Neodiprion lecontei: one gene and its partners. The protein of the gene in region 3 purifies or fractionates together with the protein of the main gene of each other region. This does not show direct contact. Links are inferred from orthologs where the notes say so. Each region holds a gene or a part of one and is shown on either strand. Other genes may lie near its edges. The genes, in order: protein mahjong, cullin-5 and COP9 signalosome complex subunit 6.

The links.
Region 1: the proteins of COP9 signalosome complex subunit 6 (region 3) and protein mahjong purify together in Homo sapiens (affinity purification with mass spectrometry; 7 studies listed by BioGRID and IntAct, with this or other methods). This does not show direct contact. The link is inferred for Neodiprion lecontei from reciprocal best matches to the Homo sapiens genes COPS6 and DCAF1.
Region 2: the proteins of COP9 signalosome complex subunit 6 (region 3) and cullin-5 purify together in Homo sapiens (affinity purification with mass spectrometry; 5 studies listed by BioGRID and IntAct, with this or other methods). This does not show direct contact. The link is inferred for Neodiprion lecontei from reciprocal best matches to the Homo sapiens genes COPS6 and CUL5.

What each region holds. Positions count from the first base shown.
Region 1 is NC_060260.1:28,672,497-28,678,016, forward strand, and holds the start of protein mahjong, read left to right. Parts: upstream 1-2,408; 5' UTR 2,409-2,423; coding exon 2,424-2,497; exon of another isoform or gene 2,498-2,627; intron 2,628-2,873; exon of another isoform or gene 2,874-3,016; coding exon of another isoform or gene 3,017-3,042; intron 3,043-3,205; coding exon 3,206-3,476; intron 3,477-3,712; coding exon 3,713-5,101; intron 5,102-5,371; coding exon 5,372-5,520. Other genes in the region: uncharacterized protein LOC107223374, read left to right, coding at 1-206. UniProt on the Homo sapiens protein: Acts both as a substrate recognition component of E3 ubiquitin-protein ligase complexes and as an atypical serine/threonine-protein kinase, playing key roles in various processes such as cell cycle, telomerase regulation and histone modification.
Region 2 is NC_060266.1:20,108,462-20,113,981, reverse strand, and holds the start of cullin-5, read left to right. Parts: upstream 1-2,147; 5' UTR 2,148-2,208; coding exon 2,209-2,241; intron 2,242-2,541; coding exon 2,542-2,751; intron 2,752-2,848; coding exon 2,849-3,025; intron 3,026-3,104; coding exon 3,105-3,246; intron 3,247-3,524; coding exon 3,525-3,839; intron 3,840-3,931; coding exon 3,932-4,404; intron 4,405-4,518; coding exon 4,519-4,782; intron 4,783-4,918; coding exon 4,919-5,074; intron 5,075-5,222; coding exon 5,223-5,503; intron 5,504-5,520. Other genes in the region: integrator complex subunit 7, read right to left, coding at 481-800, 1,314-1,404. UniProt on the Homo sapiens protein: Core component of multiple cullin-5-RING E3 ubiquitin-protein ligase complexes (ECS complexes, also named CRL5 complexes), which mediate the ubiquitination and subsequent proteasomal degradation of target proteins.
Region 3 is NC_060261.1:28,662,731-28,666,330, forward strand, and holds the start of COP9 signalosome complex subunit 6, read left to right. Parts: upstream 1-926; 5' UTR 927-1,140; coding exon 1,141-1,351; intron 1,352-1,570; coding exon 1,571-1,854; intron 1,855-3,600. UniProt on the Homo sapiens protein: Component of the COP9 signalosome complex (CSN), a complex involved in various cellular and developmental processes.

The DNA of each region.
Region 1 (5,520 bases), on a different chromosome or scaffold from region 3:
CTCCAAAATTCGAAGGATTCAAAACGCATTTTGAACTGAGAGAAAAACTGCCTTGTACAAATACACAGCAAGCTGTAAAGTTATTTGATAATAGTATATCAACTAATCAGGGGAAACCTAATAATTCATCATGGTTGTCAGAAGTTATTTCCAAAAAGCAGTCAATCAGTAGGTCAATTTCTGCACGCAGAAATAATGCGAAATAGAGTGGCATGTCAAGTCATATTTTCAATCCGTTTCAAAACCGGAGAATGTGGCGGAAAGGTGAAAAAAAAAATCGTAATTAATTGAGTATTCTTTATATTTACTTGTTCTAAATAATTGAAATATGTGGTTCCCCAAGAAAGTCATGGGAACCTGTGATTAAGTCATTTCTGCTGACATAGTAAATGAATAAACGAAGAATTTGTAAAAACTTATATTTGTGCAAAGAATAAACACTTGTAATTACAATGTCAGTCATAGATTATTGGCATTTATTTACATTAAATAATCGATAGTGTTGTTGAAAATTCAGTAACGAATGTGACTCTTCCTAGGTTCATACACTTGCATATAGTTTCATGCTTTTGGTATTGAAATTTTTTAAACTTGGTAGGACTATAGTCAGTTTTAAAAAATGTTAGCATGCGCATAATATTTCTTATTATGATTTAACAATTACTTACTGGTTACAGTATGAAAGTTTTAAAGGCAATGGTCACCCAAAAGCAACATTCAAGATGAGACGAGGCAAGCGGTGCTCGTATCTGGAAATGTACATAGACCAAAGTTATAGTATATTTTATTATAATATAGAATAATGTTTTGTACTTTCAAAAATTTGAGTTCAATTTTGTAACATAACTCGTTTTCAAAATAAAATATGTAAGGAATATCCATTTCGAAACAAATCTCAATTATTCTCAATCACTTAGTTCCTCTTCATCACTAAAGTAATTATTTTTTTTAAAACGTTTTTTAGGTTTCGAAGATTCCTGTCTTGGCTCTTCGTACTGGCCAGTTGCAACTTGGAACCTATACTTTGCAAGTTCCTCTTGTTCTTGCTGAAATAAAATGATCAAATAAGAATCTAAAAAGTGCATTTAAGATTAAAAACTTTCCAAATGACACAATTTCCTACCTCGTGATGTATAGCAGCACTCAAAGTTTCTAAATCTGATTCAGCCACTGCATTGTCATATATTGTCTCAGAGTCCCCAACACCACCTGGTTCTCTCAAGCCTTCGTCACTGTCACTATCATAATATGAGGTATCGCCTTTTGCTTGATCTTTATTTTTTTTTCTAATTCTGATTTTTTTTGGTGGAGGTTCTCTGGGGCCCAAAGTATTTTGAGAGCATTGGTACGACAGATGCCCTTCTTCACCACACTCGTAACACTGAGATTTGTCTGGATAATCCTTTCGTCGAATGAATTCAGTACTGCGTCCATTATCCACGGCTATGGAGCTTTTCACAGTACGGCCACCAATCTGAGAATAGAAAATTTTCTTCATTTTGTGTGAGATGTATATTCATTATTAAAATAAGTTATGATAGTAAGACAAACATATGATATTGATATATATTTTACCTCAGTATTATTTAGAGTCTTTGCACAAGTAATGGCATCTTCACGTGTGAGAAATAAGACGAATGCAACACCCTTGCTGCGTCTAGTCATCTTGTCTTTCAACACAGTAACTCTGCAATTCATAAAATCACATTTTAATCAACTGTTTAAGTTAGCTACAATTATAGATTCAATACATTAGATAAGATATTATATATGTTTCTCTGGGTAAAGATAAAAGAGAAAAGTGAATGCGTGTATGGTAATTACGAAATACTGAAATTCCAAAAGTTTATTAAATAGTTAACAAGTTGCATCATTAATTTTCGAAGTGATCACTCACTTGACGATCTTTCCGTACGTTTCGAGAAGCTTGTGTATGTCATTATTAGTCAGAGAAAAGGGCAAGTTAGAAACGTAAACCGTTGATTTACTCGGAGCAACACCTCCGCTCATCGCTCTGAATTATTGTTTCGTATGAACCGTATGAACACAGTGTAAATTTGAAATATACACGGTGTAGGTTATGTTCTTGTCGCATATTTTACGGTTATGTTTCACTTTGACGCAGAAGCATAATTTTAAATTTGTTCATTCACGATTCGTCGATATAGATCACGTGGATGTCGTTCTTTGTTCTCATTGGCGTAGGAGCTCTGCCAGGTCAAGTCTTGGGGCGCGAAATGTCAAAAAAAAATTCCAAAAATTGAATAATTGATGACAAATATTTTGGTTTTTCGAGTTTGATATCGCCCAGTGACCATTTTCCCTGAAAAACCTAACATAAGTGACGATAGCTGGTCATCCCGACATTACCTACAAACACATTGATCTGAATTTGACCTTTCGCACGCAAACGAATCGTGTGCATGAATCATAAATTTGGCCATGTGCAGACCGCGTTCGGCAGTCGAAGCTTGTGTCGGTGGCGACAGTCTTGTATGTGCGTTTTAACAAAATATTTTGGGCAATTAGAAGGGATATAGGTTGTTTGCTATCGAAAAACGTTGATTAAACTTTCTTGGTAATTTAACATCAATAAGGTACAATTTTGAAAGCTGTCATAGTCGTTGGTACTTGAAAAACTTGTTGTTTTAACCTAACCTAACCTATACATCTGGTAACATTTCTGTACAAGATTTAAGAGGCACAGATATGTCAAGCAGTTGTTGTATCACTCCCTTTAATAAATAGGAGTTACATTTTGCGATACCTGTAATATGTCTAGTATAGTTAATAATTTTATTACGCTTTGATAGATCATACTTTAATCTCGGAATTCTGTTATTTAAGGTTAGAGTCTTCGGTGTTATGTTCGTTTTTTCGAGTTGTGGAACCTTCCGTTACAAAACTGTACACTTTTGCAAATTAAGTACATGGCTTATCCTTTGCTTAAAATTAACGAGTCGTATTCATTATTAGCAGATTCTTCAAAGACCTTATTCCAAAATCAAAAATAAACATGGCTCAGCAAAATTGTGTTAAAAGGTTGCATTTGAATAACTATTTACAAATATCAATTATTTCCTGGTTTGTAATTCCAATGAATTTTATTCATTTGAAAGTCTCAATGGCTCATATGAGTACAAGGTAATTTTTCATGATTCAGACAATTCTGCTTTAATTTTTCCTTGTATCTTTACTTTGATAGAACAAAAGTCATGGCGACAGTAGAATCACTTGCGGAAGTAACAGATGTTGTTCAAATTCTGCGTCAGTGGGAAGAAGACCATGTTTCACCGACGTATGATCCAATACCAACATTGCAACGTTTGGCTGAAATTATAGAAATAGAGACAGAAAATTACTTAAAAATGGATCCAGATCCATTTGACGAAAGGCACCCTTCACGCACTGATCCAGAATGTAATTTTGGACATATTTTGAAAGTTTTGTTTAGAAAGGACAACTTCATGACAAAGGTAGTACCTTGTTCCATATTTATTGTGTAATTTTTTGAAACAAATGATAACAGCATTGAAACCATATCAAATCTAATAATTTCTTACATCCAATGTGAGTAATGAAATCAGGGACAAAACAAACTTGTCTGTCTCAAACATCAGCTTTGAACAATTGTTGAGTCTTTATCCGAAACATATTTTCGATCTGTCATTTGACTATTTGGAAAAATTCAATTCAATGATTTGTGTTACAGCTGATAAATGATTATCTAAGAGACACGTACTGGACACGGTCAGGTATTAACGGTCGTGATGTGCGAAAGTTGAATATTGCAGCCTGCCGTTTGATGTTGGACATATTGCCAGGCCTAGAAACATCAGCAGTGTTTCAACCCGATATGGATGGGCTTATCCATAGGCTTTTTTCGTGGGCTGAAAAAAGCATAGAGCCTTTACAAAGTTATGCCACCGGTTTGTTAGCTGCTGCAATGGAAGTTCAAGACATTGCTACAGGATTTAGAGAACAGAATGGTAAAATGGTGCCTTTGATGCTGCAAAGATTACACAAGCTACAAGAAAAAGCTTTGGAAAATCGTCATGCAGCAGTTAACACAAGACCATTTGCACATTTTGGTCAGAATAGAAATAGCCTGGGTGATACTGAACACAAAGGTACTCCTGGAAAACGGAAAGTGAGAGAGAAGAAACATGAAAATGGAACAATGAAAAGCCCTACGCACTCAATTTTTTGCTCAGATGAAGAAGACTCGATTCAAAGTTCGGACGAAATGCCACCAAGCAAAAAACTCAAGTCTCAAAATAACATGGAAAATGCTGTTTTAACACCTGTTAAATCTAACGATAACACCAGAGATTCATACCCCGAGATTATGTCCCCACCGTTATCTATTCCTCGTATAACTACCTATACAACTTTACAAGTTACACCAGCGAAGAATCAAAACACTCGTGTAACACCACCAAGACCTGTCAACATATTGGCATCTGGTAGATCTAATTTGTCTAAACCTCAGACTCAAGTAATCAACCCGCCTTCCTTGCTTCTAGAAGGTAATTCGAATTCGTCCTGGGCTGAAATGGAGTCTTACGTTATTGGCAATGTTCAAATACATCCGCCCACTTTGGCTACTCGTCAGATGCTGATTTTAAGGTACCTCACACCAATGGGAGAATACCAAGAATTTCTTGGGCACGTATTCGAGCAAAACGCTTTGGAATTGATATTAAACTACATAAATGTACGGGAAACAAAGGATAGTCGCTTAGCTTTTGAAGCTTTAAAATACTTAGCATCTTTACTGTGTCATAAAAAATTTTCTATCGAGTTCCTAAGTATGGGTGGATTACAAAAACTCTTAGATGTACCAAGACCCAGTGTCGCGGCAACTGGTGTTTCTATTTGTTTGTATTATCTTGCATACTGTGAGGATGCTATGGAAAGAGTTTGTCTCTTACCGAAACATATAATAACCGATTTAGTGAAATATGCATTGTGGTTACTGGAGAGAAGTCACGATTCTGGTAGATGTCATGCAACAATGTTCTTTGGATTTTCATTTCCTTTCAAAGTTATTCTGGAAGAATTTGATCTCCAAGATGGACTTAGGAAATTATACAATGTTGTGAGTATATGAACTTAATATCAAACTGCAGTGTTTTGCGAGACATAATAAAGTCATTATACACAAACCACCATTTTGAACGAGAAAAAAATGACAGTTTAATTCCAAAACTAGAACAATCAGTAATTTCATTCATTTCTGTGATTGTGAAAATGTATGTCGCATTAATTTGGGGTTTGCAATGTGAGAATACTATATTGCATTTGCTAAATCTTATTATTATTATTATCATCATTATTTTTGAGACATGTATTTCCTGATTTACATTAGATATCTACATTACCCATTCTAAACATTGATGATGACCCGGCTTTGAATGATGATGAAGAATGTGCGTCAAGACAAATAGTAAGACATGTTGCTGTAGCACTGAAAAGGTACATGGAGGTTCATTTATATGTAAAAGCAGAACAACTACA
Region 2 (5,520 bases), on a different chromosome or scaffold from region 3:
TTATTTATTTAGATCAACGAGCATTAAATGTCTTTTAAGAAAGATAGAATATACAAAATATTAAGATAGGTGAGGCATTTACAAGGAAACTTAGATAAGGAATAATAAGTAAAGGTCGCTAACTTTAACAAACGTTTAAACGTAGTATTATCAAAGTAATTATGATTTCGTAAAATAGATGAAAATAAAAAGTTTACAGATTTTGGTTTAAATTTAGGACTAATAGGTAACATTTTGGCTATCAAAAAATCTTTAAGGCTTCACACAAAACGTTTTTTCCACTATTTTAATTGAATTAAATTTAATAAGGTAATGTTTAATTTTCTCTACTCTTTGTTATAAATAACTCTACATAATTGGACATGCATATTAAAATTTGTTGTATGTTTTTACATTTTTTATAGCACAATTTTTTATACTTTAATGGAAGTCGTACTCGTATATAATAGATAAGTGAATGAATGACAGTTGCATAATTACCTGTTGTCTTTCTGGTATGATCCCGGCAACACTGCCTAAGGTACGCAGAGTAAGCGCTCTTGCAACTGGATCGTTGGAATGAATAACGCTAAAAATTCGTCTGACAAATTCATCAACATTAAGAATTTTGTCCAAGTGTTTTTCACTTTGTTGGCAAACCCTCAATACCCAGACGCGCAGAAAGTTGCTGCCTATCCGAAAGACGTCAGCCAACTTGAGCAGCGAAGAGTTTATCAGGATTGGAAAAGGATATTTTTCGAATAGGCGGGGAAATCGTACGATAGCTTCGCACTGCTCCCCTATCTTGTTCGACCGAAGACCTAAAACATTAAAACTTTGTCACAGGATGTCCAGATTTCCCGAATAGTTTAGAAATTTGAATTTTTAATCATCCAGTCATTCGGCCCGTTAAAGGGTTAAGATTTTTTCATCTGTAAACACAAGCTGTTACTCTCATCACTATCAAGTGTTCGACAATTTATTACTGACTTGTTTGAAAATTTCAATCAACTTTAGCATTAAATTTGGATGCTATAGAGTTTTATCTATGTTGAATAAAAATTCCGATACGAATTGTTCTGTAATAACACCGAATATTTGTTTGAAAACCAGAAATGCATAAGCTAACCTCAAATTCAATAACACGTCATATCCCGGCGAAGATTCTAACATTTTTGAGCATTCGAGTAGTCCTACAGGAAGTAAGATTGAGGAGAATATTAAGACTACGAAGATGCTGCAAATTTAGTTAATCTTCTGCCTTACCATCGAAATTCAACGTGGTAGCTTTGACAATCAAAGTAGTTAACCTACAATTTTGATTTTGCAATTACCTTTATCCAGCTCGATTAGAGCTGAATTTGCATCTTGCTCCGGCTCTCCTAAACCTGTATCGTTGAATGCGTTCATCCTCATGCCGATCATCTTACAAAATGATGTATTTTATTTCAGTTTTATAGAAATTGAAAACGTTTGCTCTTTTCCGGCACTATCCAAATATGTTTACTTCTGCAGTGAGTACAAAATATAATTACTACCCGTAAGGTCCCTAGGCAATTTTCAGTTTATCGATATGGCTCGAAGTTTGAATCTCCAGAAGAAGTGACATTTCCATATAGTGTAAATATTATGTTTGCCATTATCTGACGATCCTAATTAACTAATTGCTTTCGATATTCCGTTTTCAAAGAAACAATTCAATCGAATTTAATTGTTCGCTGATAACGAAATAAAATTATTCTTTTCAAATGGCTGCAGGGCTGTCTCACTGGTGCCTGGCAGAGAGAATCCTGAGAGAGCCCACCGTGCACGTCTTTTGTGTTCTCTATTTTGTAGCGCTATCAATCACGAGATAGGTATTTGGAACAAATCTTCGAGGTGCATGTTCAGTAATCGAATGTCGGTAAGCGATTAGCATTCTACCGTATTTAGAATCACGGGGGCCGTAAATGTTTGTAAATTGTTCAGTTTCGTCCGTTTCGTCTACGACCGGGTATCAGGGTGTTCTATATCTTATGCTGACAACGGCAGAGTTCAGTCCACGGCAGAGTATTGGTCACCTACTGACACATGCTTACCGACCGATCACCGTGGAAATTAGTCCTAAAAATGAATTTCTCATAGAGGGCGCTATGATATCAGGGACACGAAAAATGCTAGTGTAGGCCATCTCAGGCTCCTCGCTGCAGCTGGCTTTGAAGAAAATGGGGGAAAGCAACTAGTTATAACATGTCAAAAACTAGTGTGGCGGCGATGTTAAAGGTTAGTTGTCATTAAATAACCGCAAATAATAGGTAAACGGTGAAGGGATTTTGCTAATGACGGAGAAAATATCAATCACCAACAACTGAGTAGACCCAAATTTTGGGCGAACGAATTCCCATGATACTCGAGCTATTCGACTGAAAATGACTCATCTGGCATTGAAAATCAAATTCGATCACTGAACAAACCGCCGATATTGAGTGAATTGCGACTAAGCTGATACTATTCATCACGAAATATTCAAAATTTCTCACCTGCGTGCCTACTGATCTCGTTTTTCATCGTCTATTTATGCAGGACCGGAATCAGTTTAGCTTCGCAGGAAAATGGCCATGCATGCGCCCAGTAATATTGAAATTACTGAAACAAGAAGCTGTTACACAAGGGGAATGGCAGGATCTATTTTATTCAGTTCACTTGGTCTGCCTATGGGACGACAAAGGTCCTCCCAAATTAAGGGACACTCTCAAAGTGGACATAATGGATTTCATACAACAAGCACAGCAGGTAATCAATGTTGTAATTAGCATTTTCCCTCTCGGAATCTGCGAGTGACTCGCTTCCAATTTATGTATGTTATAATCCTTGCCTTACGTTGATTCAGAGAGTATTGGCGCATCAGGAAGAGCAGGCGTTGCTTAAAGCCTACATAACTGAATGGCGCAAATTTTTTACCCAATGTAATTATTTGCCAACACCGTTTAGGCAACTGGAAACTTCGCTTGCTGGAAAGACTACTACACAGAAAAGGAATCAAGCGGAGGAAAGTATAGTTAGAAAGGTAATACTCATTCCTTATTTTTGATGGATTTCTGCTGCTAGATTTATTAATCAAGTCAATATTTATTTCTGAGCAATAGTTGATGCTGGACAGTTGGAACCAGAGTATATTTGGAGACATAAAACAAAGGCTACAGGATTCAGCCATGAAGCTGGTGCGGGCGGAAAGAAATGGGGAGGCGTTTGATTCGCAGTTGGTCATTGGTGTTAGAGAATCTTATGGTGAGGCCTATGCAAGTGAAAGAGGAGTTTTCAGTAAAAACAAATGGGAATTAAAAAGAAAATTTCACAATTAATTCAATCAAACACATTATTGATTCAACAATAGTTATTGTAAGAATAATATTGTCTCAAACAAAACTTGAACTATGATCTGAAGTGGAAAACTTGATGTAGAACGTTTTATAGGATGTCTTGTTAAAATAAATCCTGACTTATATTTCAAGAAATTAAAAGTAAAGTTGAAGATTAATTGTTAATTTCACTTTTATCTCTTACAGTTAATCTGTGTTCAAATACAATGGACAAGCTGCAAATATACAGAGATAATTTTGAGGCATCGTACATAAAAGCCACGGAAGAATTTTACAAAATAAAAGCTCCTGAGCAACTTTCTCTGCATGGAGTAGAGACTTACATGCGATATGCAGAGGTAAAGTTGAGAGAAGAAGAATTGAGAGCTCAAAAATATTTGGAGCCAAATAGTGCAAGTGTACAGTTGTTGACGGATTGCTGTGTTTCTGTACTTGTCGCTACCTTCAAGTCAGCCATCCTTGCCGAATGTCCTCGCATGATTCAGCATCATGAAACAGAAAGTAATTTGAGAAAGAGACTAATAATCTTAGACAATATAAACTTTGCTAACATTAAATACATTACAAATTTTTCACACAATTTTTATTTACAGAGCTCAGACTCATGCTCAAGTTGATGGATCGCGTACCAGATGGAGTGAGTCCAATGTTAAAAGACCTGGAAGATCACATAGCGAGTGCCGGTCTTGCCGATATGATGGCAGCAGTCGATGTGATAACCCAAGACTCTGAAAAATACGTAGAAAGATTGTTGGATCTCTTTAGACGATTTTCTACTCTGGTTAAGGAGGCGTTTGACGACGATCCGCGATTCCTCACAGCCAGAGACAAGGCATATAAATTAGTTGTCAATGATTCAACTGTATTCAGACTTGAACTGCCTGTTAGACAAGGTACCGGTGTAACTGCTCCAGTCATCCCAACTAAACCTGTAAACAGCAATAATGGACAGCCAGAATCCAAGTGTCCTGAACTACTGGCAAATTACTGCGATATGTTGCTCAGAAAAACACCGTTAAGTAAGAAACTTACTTCGGATGAAATCGAGAGCAAACTTCGGGACGTGGTGAGCTCAGTTGTGTTTCATATATTTCCAGGGGATGTTTAAGTGCTATTGGCTAAGTGCTTTGTGATAATTGAAGTGAAATGTAAACATCACAATATTCAAATTTTATTCTAGCTGCTCGTGCTAAAGTACGTTCAAAACAAAGACGTATTCATGAGATACCATAAGGCTCACCTCACTCGGAGATTGATTCTGGATACTTCAGCAGATTCTGAGAAGGAAGAAAATATGGTGGAGTGGTTACGAGAAGTCGGCATGCCTGCGGACTATGTAAATAAATTAGCACGCATGTTCCAAGACGTCAAAATTTCCCAAGATCTCAATCAACAATTCAAAGAACAGTGCCGCGCTACCATTGCCGACAGCATTAATATAAAGGTGAAGCAAATCAAGTCGTTGTTTTTTTTTTTTTTATTATAGGAGTCGTACTTTCGTTTCTCCACTATTCACCCTGTTCACTGTCTTACATTATACAAAATATATTTATCAATTATTTATATGCATTTTGCAATAGATATTGAATGCTGGCGCATGGGCAAGAGGCAGCGAGCGTGTCACTGTCAGTTTACCCCTTCAATTAGAAGATTACATCCCCGAAGTTGAAGAGTTTTACAAAAAGAAGCACAGTGGCCGTAAACTGCAATGGTATCATCACATGTCAAATGGAACGGTAAATGCATTTACATTTATAAGAAGTTGATTTAAAAACTTTTCTTAGCACTATGTGCGAATTACAATCCAGTTTGTAGTCTAAGTAAACATCAATACTGCACAATCTCAAAGATTCAAACAGGCAATAACATAAAATGAGTTTACAGATAACATTTTGCAATAAAATGGGGCGATTTGATGTTGACGTGACAACATTTCAAATGGCTGTTCTATTTGCTTGGAATCAACGACCTTTCGAAAAGATTTCATACGAAAATCTTCGATTAGCAACCGAGTTACCAGATACAGAATTAAGGCGTACACTGTGGTCGTTGTGCGCTTTTCCTAAACTTAGACGTCAACTCCTTCTAGTCGAACCTAGCACTTACAGCCCGAAAGAATTCGCGCATGACACTCGTTTCTGGGTGAATCACGAGTTTGCTATTGTGTGAGTAAAAATAAATG
Region 3 (3,600 bases):
TTTTATACTGAGATGAAATATTCTAATAAATAACCACTGTCTCTCATAATTCTTAAAATGAAGTCATTTACTTTTCCTGTTATCTGATTACGTGTAAAAGGTAATAGAAAACTTCAAAAATACCGCTTGTTTGCTGCCAACAATAGTACACTGAATAATATGTATATACAAATGATTTCTTCTAGTTAAAGCTGTATCTGATCTTTCTGGGTTTTAACCAAAGTTCATACGTTATTTTATACCGTGTAAATACTAATAAGCGAACACTTGATTGAATTCTTCATTATTAGAAATAACCCGGATATATGTACGTAAGAGAATATTATGAGATGAATCTTGCAGACTTAATAACTCCTTTATATCCATGAACGGCGTTAATTCTAAAATTCTGGAAAATTAATTAGTAAATGGGAAAACTAAAAAAATTCATATGTACAATTTTGTTTGCAACGTGATAACCATCTCTGAAAGTAGAAAGTATAGTAGTGTGCCTGAAAAAAATTAGTTCGAAATCTAGTTTCATGGTGAGTGCCGTTGTAGTTATCCCTTCAACGAAGGACCATGGTAAGTTCCTTATATTTCAGAAAACCCCTGCGACTGCAAACGCTACGTTATACTCTACTCTCGAGATCATCAACTTTTTTGCCTCTATTATTCGAAAAACGATAAATCTTTCCACTTTTCTGGTCGCATATGGCAGAATTCGTATGCGATCATAATATATATTTCTTTTATACCACTACAATTATACATTCTTCACTTTGACAGATTTTAAATACAAGGTAGTTTCGTACGCAGTATAAAACGTTTGACTTTTCCCGCGTTCAGGCATGCGCACACATTACTACGTCAGTTCCCTGGGTGGTAACTAGGCTGACTCGAGGCGCTTCAAAAGTTATAAATTGGTAGCACAGGCTGCCATAGAAATTAGCTATTCAGATAAATACAGAATAGGGCAATAGGGTCTCAACCAGTCTTAACTCCCAACGGTCTAAACCAACGATTGTTTCACAACTCGCCGCAGGCTGTCGTAGACGGTACTTTGTAGTATTTACGCCTTTGTAGCCACCAGCCATCAGTAAGTAAAGAGTATAGATAAAACTGTCGTGTTTGCTAGTTTGAGCGTAAAAATATACCAAAATGAGCGAGCCGTCGTTTAGTGAAATGGAGGTAGAAGAAAGCAACGTTGTTAGCGCGATGGATACAACCCCAGTCACAAGTAACGTGAAGAGCGTGATGGCCTCGTCTGGGACTGTCGGCTCAGTGTCAATCAGTTTGCATCCTCTCGTCATAATGAATGTTAGTGAACATTGGACGAGGCTCAGGGCACAGGAAGGCTCTGATCAACTGGGTGAGTGTAATAGAATACAACTTTTTACTTCAGTGCCCTGAAGTCAGTTTATGGTGTGCTATGATCACGGTGGCAGAATATACCCTAATCTAACATGATTCGATAATGCGCAAATAAAGTTCTGTAAGTTCGATTACAAGAGAACGATGCATGTTGAAACCTGAATGATTTACACTCTAATGCATAGTGTTTGTATTAATTATTTATTAATTCTTACAGTTTACGGAGCACTGATCGGTAAACAGAAGGGACGTAACATAGAGATAATGAATTCTTTCGAGCTCTTGTTTACATCTATCGGTGACGATGTTGTCATTGATCGAGATTACTACAATACGAAAGAAGAACAGTTCAAGCAGGTGTTTAGTGAAATGGATTTTCTCGGGTGGTACACAACAGGAGATGCCCCAACAGACAGAGACATCAGGGTACACAAACAGCTATGCGAAATTAACGAATGTCCTGTGCTACTTAAGTTAGACCCGAGGTGTAAACATACAGAAGTAAGTGTTTACTATGTAACAATCTCTTTCCATACATTTTCTGCTCCAAAACATGTCCAATCCATCACTGTATTATTACAGAATGTGTATTCAACGATCTAAATAGTGCTGCAAGTTCTAGAAACATAATGAAATTTATGACATTGCAGAAAAGCAGCAATGGTCAGAAATCTGTAAAATCTCACAATACATACTGTGGAAATTTTACAGTTGGAAAATGTTTCAAGTATTTCAGGAAATTTCTTAGGGTACAGTACCCAAAGATATAAATGGGATATTCCACACCAACTTAACCAACTTCCAGACCTCACCTTTTGTCATTTTGGTCAAAAACTTTTCATAGAATTGTCCCAACTCCAAAACAGGATCCCGACCTTGGTCAGATTTTTCTGAGTAAATTTGTTTACTTATGATTTTTGAAAACCTAAATGTCATTGGCCGTAATTTAAATATGCCAAAAAATTCACAACCATCTTGTGTCAAGTATCGAAATTTTTAAGCCTAGATCCGGATTAGGCTGGCATTTGCTTCTACTCTTTTTTAAGTTTCTTAAATAAAAAAAAAAAATAGATGCAATTGTCAGTCTTTTGTGGGCCGCTGCTCAAACATTTTTATACACAACCCAGGATTTTTAAGAATTTTTTCAGATTCCAAATTTTTGTTCCAAATGAAAAAATTGTTAATAATTAATGAGTTTAAAAAAATCTTAAGAATTCTTAAATAGTACGCGTTACATATTAAAATTTTTGCCAACAAATGACTGAAAATTTCTCACAAAAGAATGACAATTGCTTCTTTTTTTTTCAATTAGTTTTCTTCAAGAAATCTCGAAAAAAAATAAGAAGGGAATGTCGACCCACTCAGGGTTTAAGCTCAAAAATTTTAATGTCTGACACATGATTTTTGAGAATCTTTTCAGATTTCTAAATTAAGGTCAAAAACATGTTGATTTTAAAAAACGCAAGTAAAGCAACTTTCAGTCCAAAAAATCTGAAAAAATTCGGGGTACTGTTATGGATTTGGTACAATTCCATAAAAATGTTTAAACAAGATTAGAAATGGTAAGCGTCCAATGTTGGTTAAGTTGGTATAGAATACCTCATATGTATAAATTTTACTACTGAGCAGAACGACATCAACAACATCATATTTAATAATTTGATTCAAAAACATTGTATCTCACAATTTTGTTCAAGACCATTGTTTTCAGAATTTAGTCGAACATCATTGTATCTCTAGTCAATGAACAACGTTTTTTTTAAGGCTGTGCAACTGCTGTGCATATGATTCTTGAAAGAGTAAGGTTGCTATTCGGTTTATAAGTAACGGTTAAGATTTAATATTACAATATTAAATTATAATTCAAATCTGGTGTATAGAATTATTTTTATTTTCATATGGAATATTCACTTTGTTGTATGAATTTAATTGAGGATTAAGTAATATATTTTTTATGTAGTAACGTTCAATTTCCCCTATGGGCTAACTCTACTCATCTGTATACATGCTTATACAGCAATATCGGTAAGCCTTCGTGGTTTTATGCATTATGTATAGGATAACAGATGATGATGATTGTTCACTAACAAAAATTTATTGAAATTGTTTTTGCTTGCCGTTAATTTTCGATATTTTTCTTATGGTTATTTTACAACAAAACTGATATTTATATATATTGATACTACAAGTATTTGGAATCATAATCAATCAGTACATAAATTGTATGATCGAACTAAATAAACCACA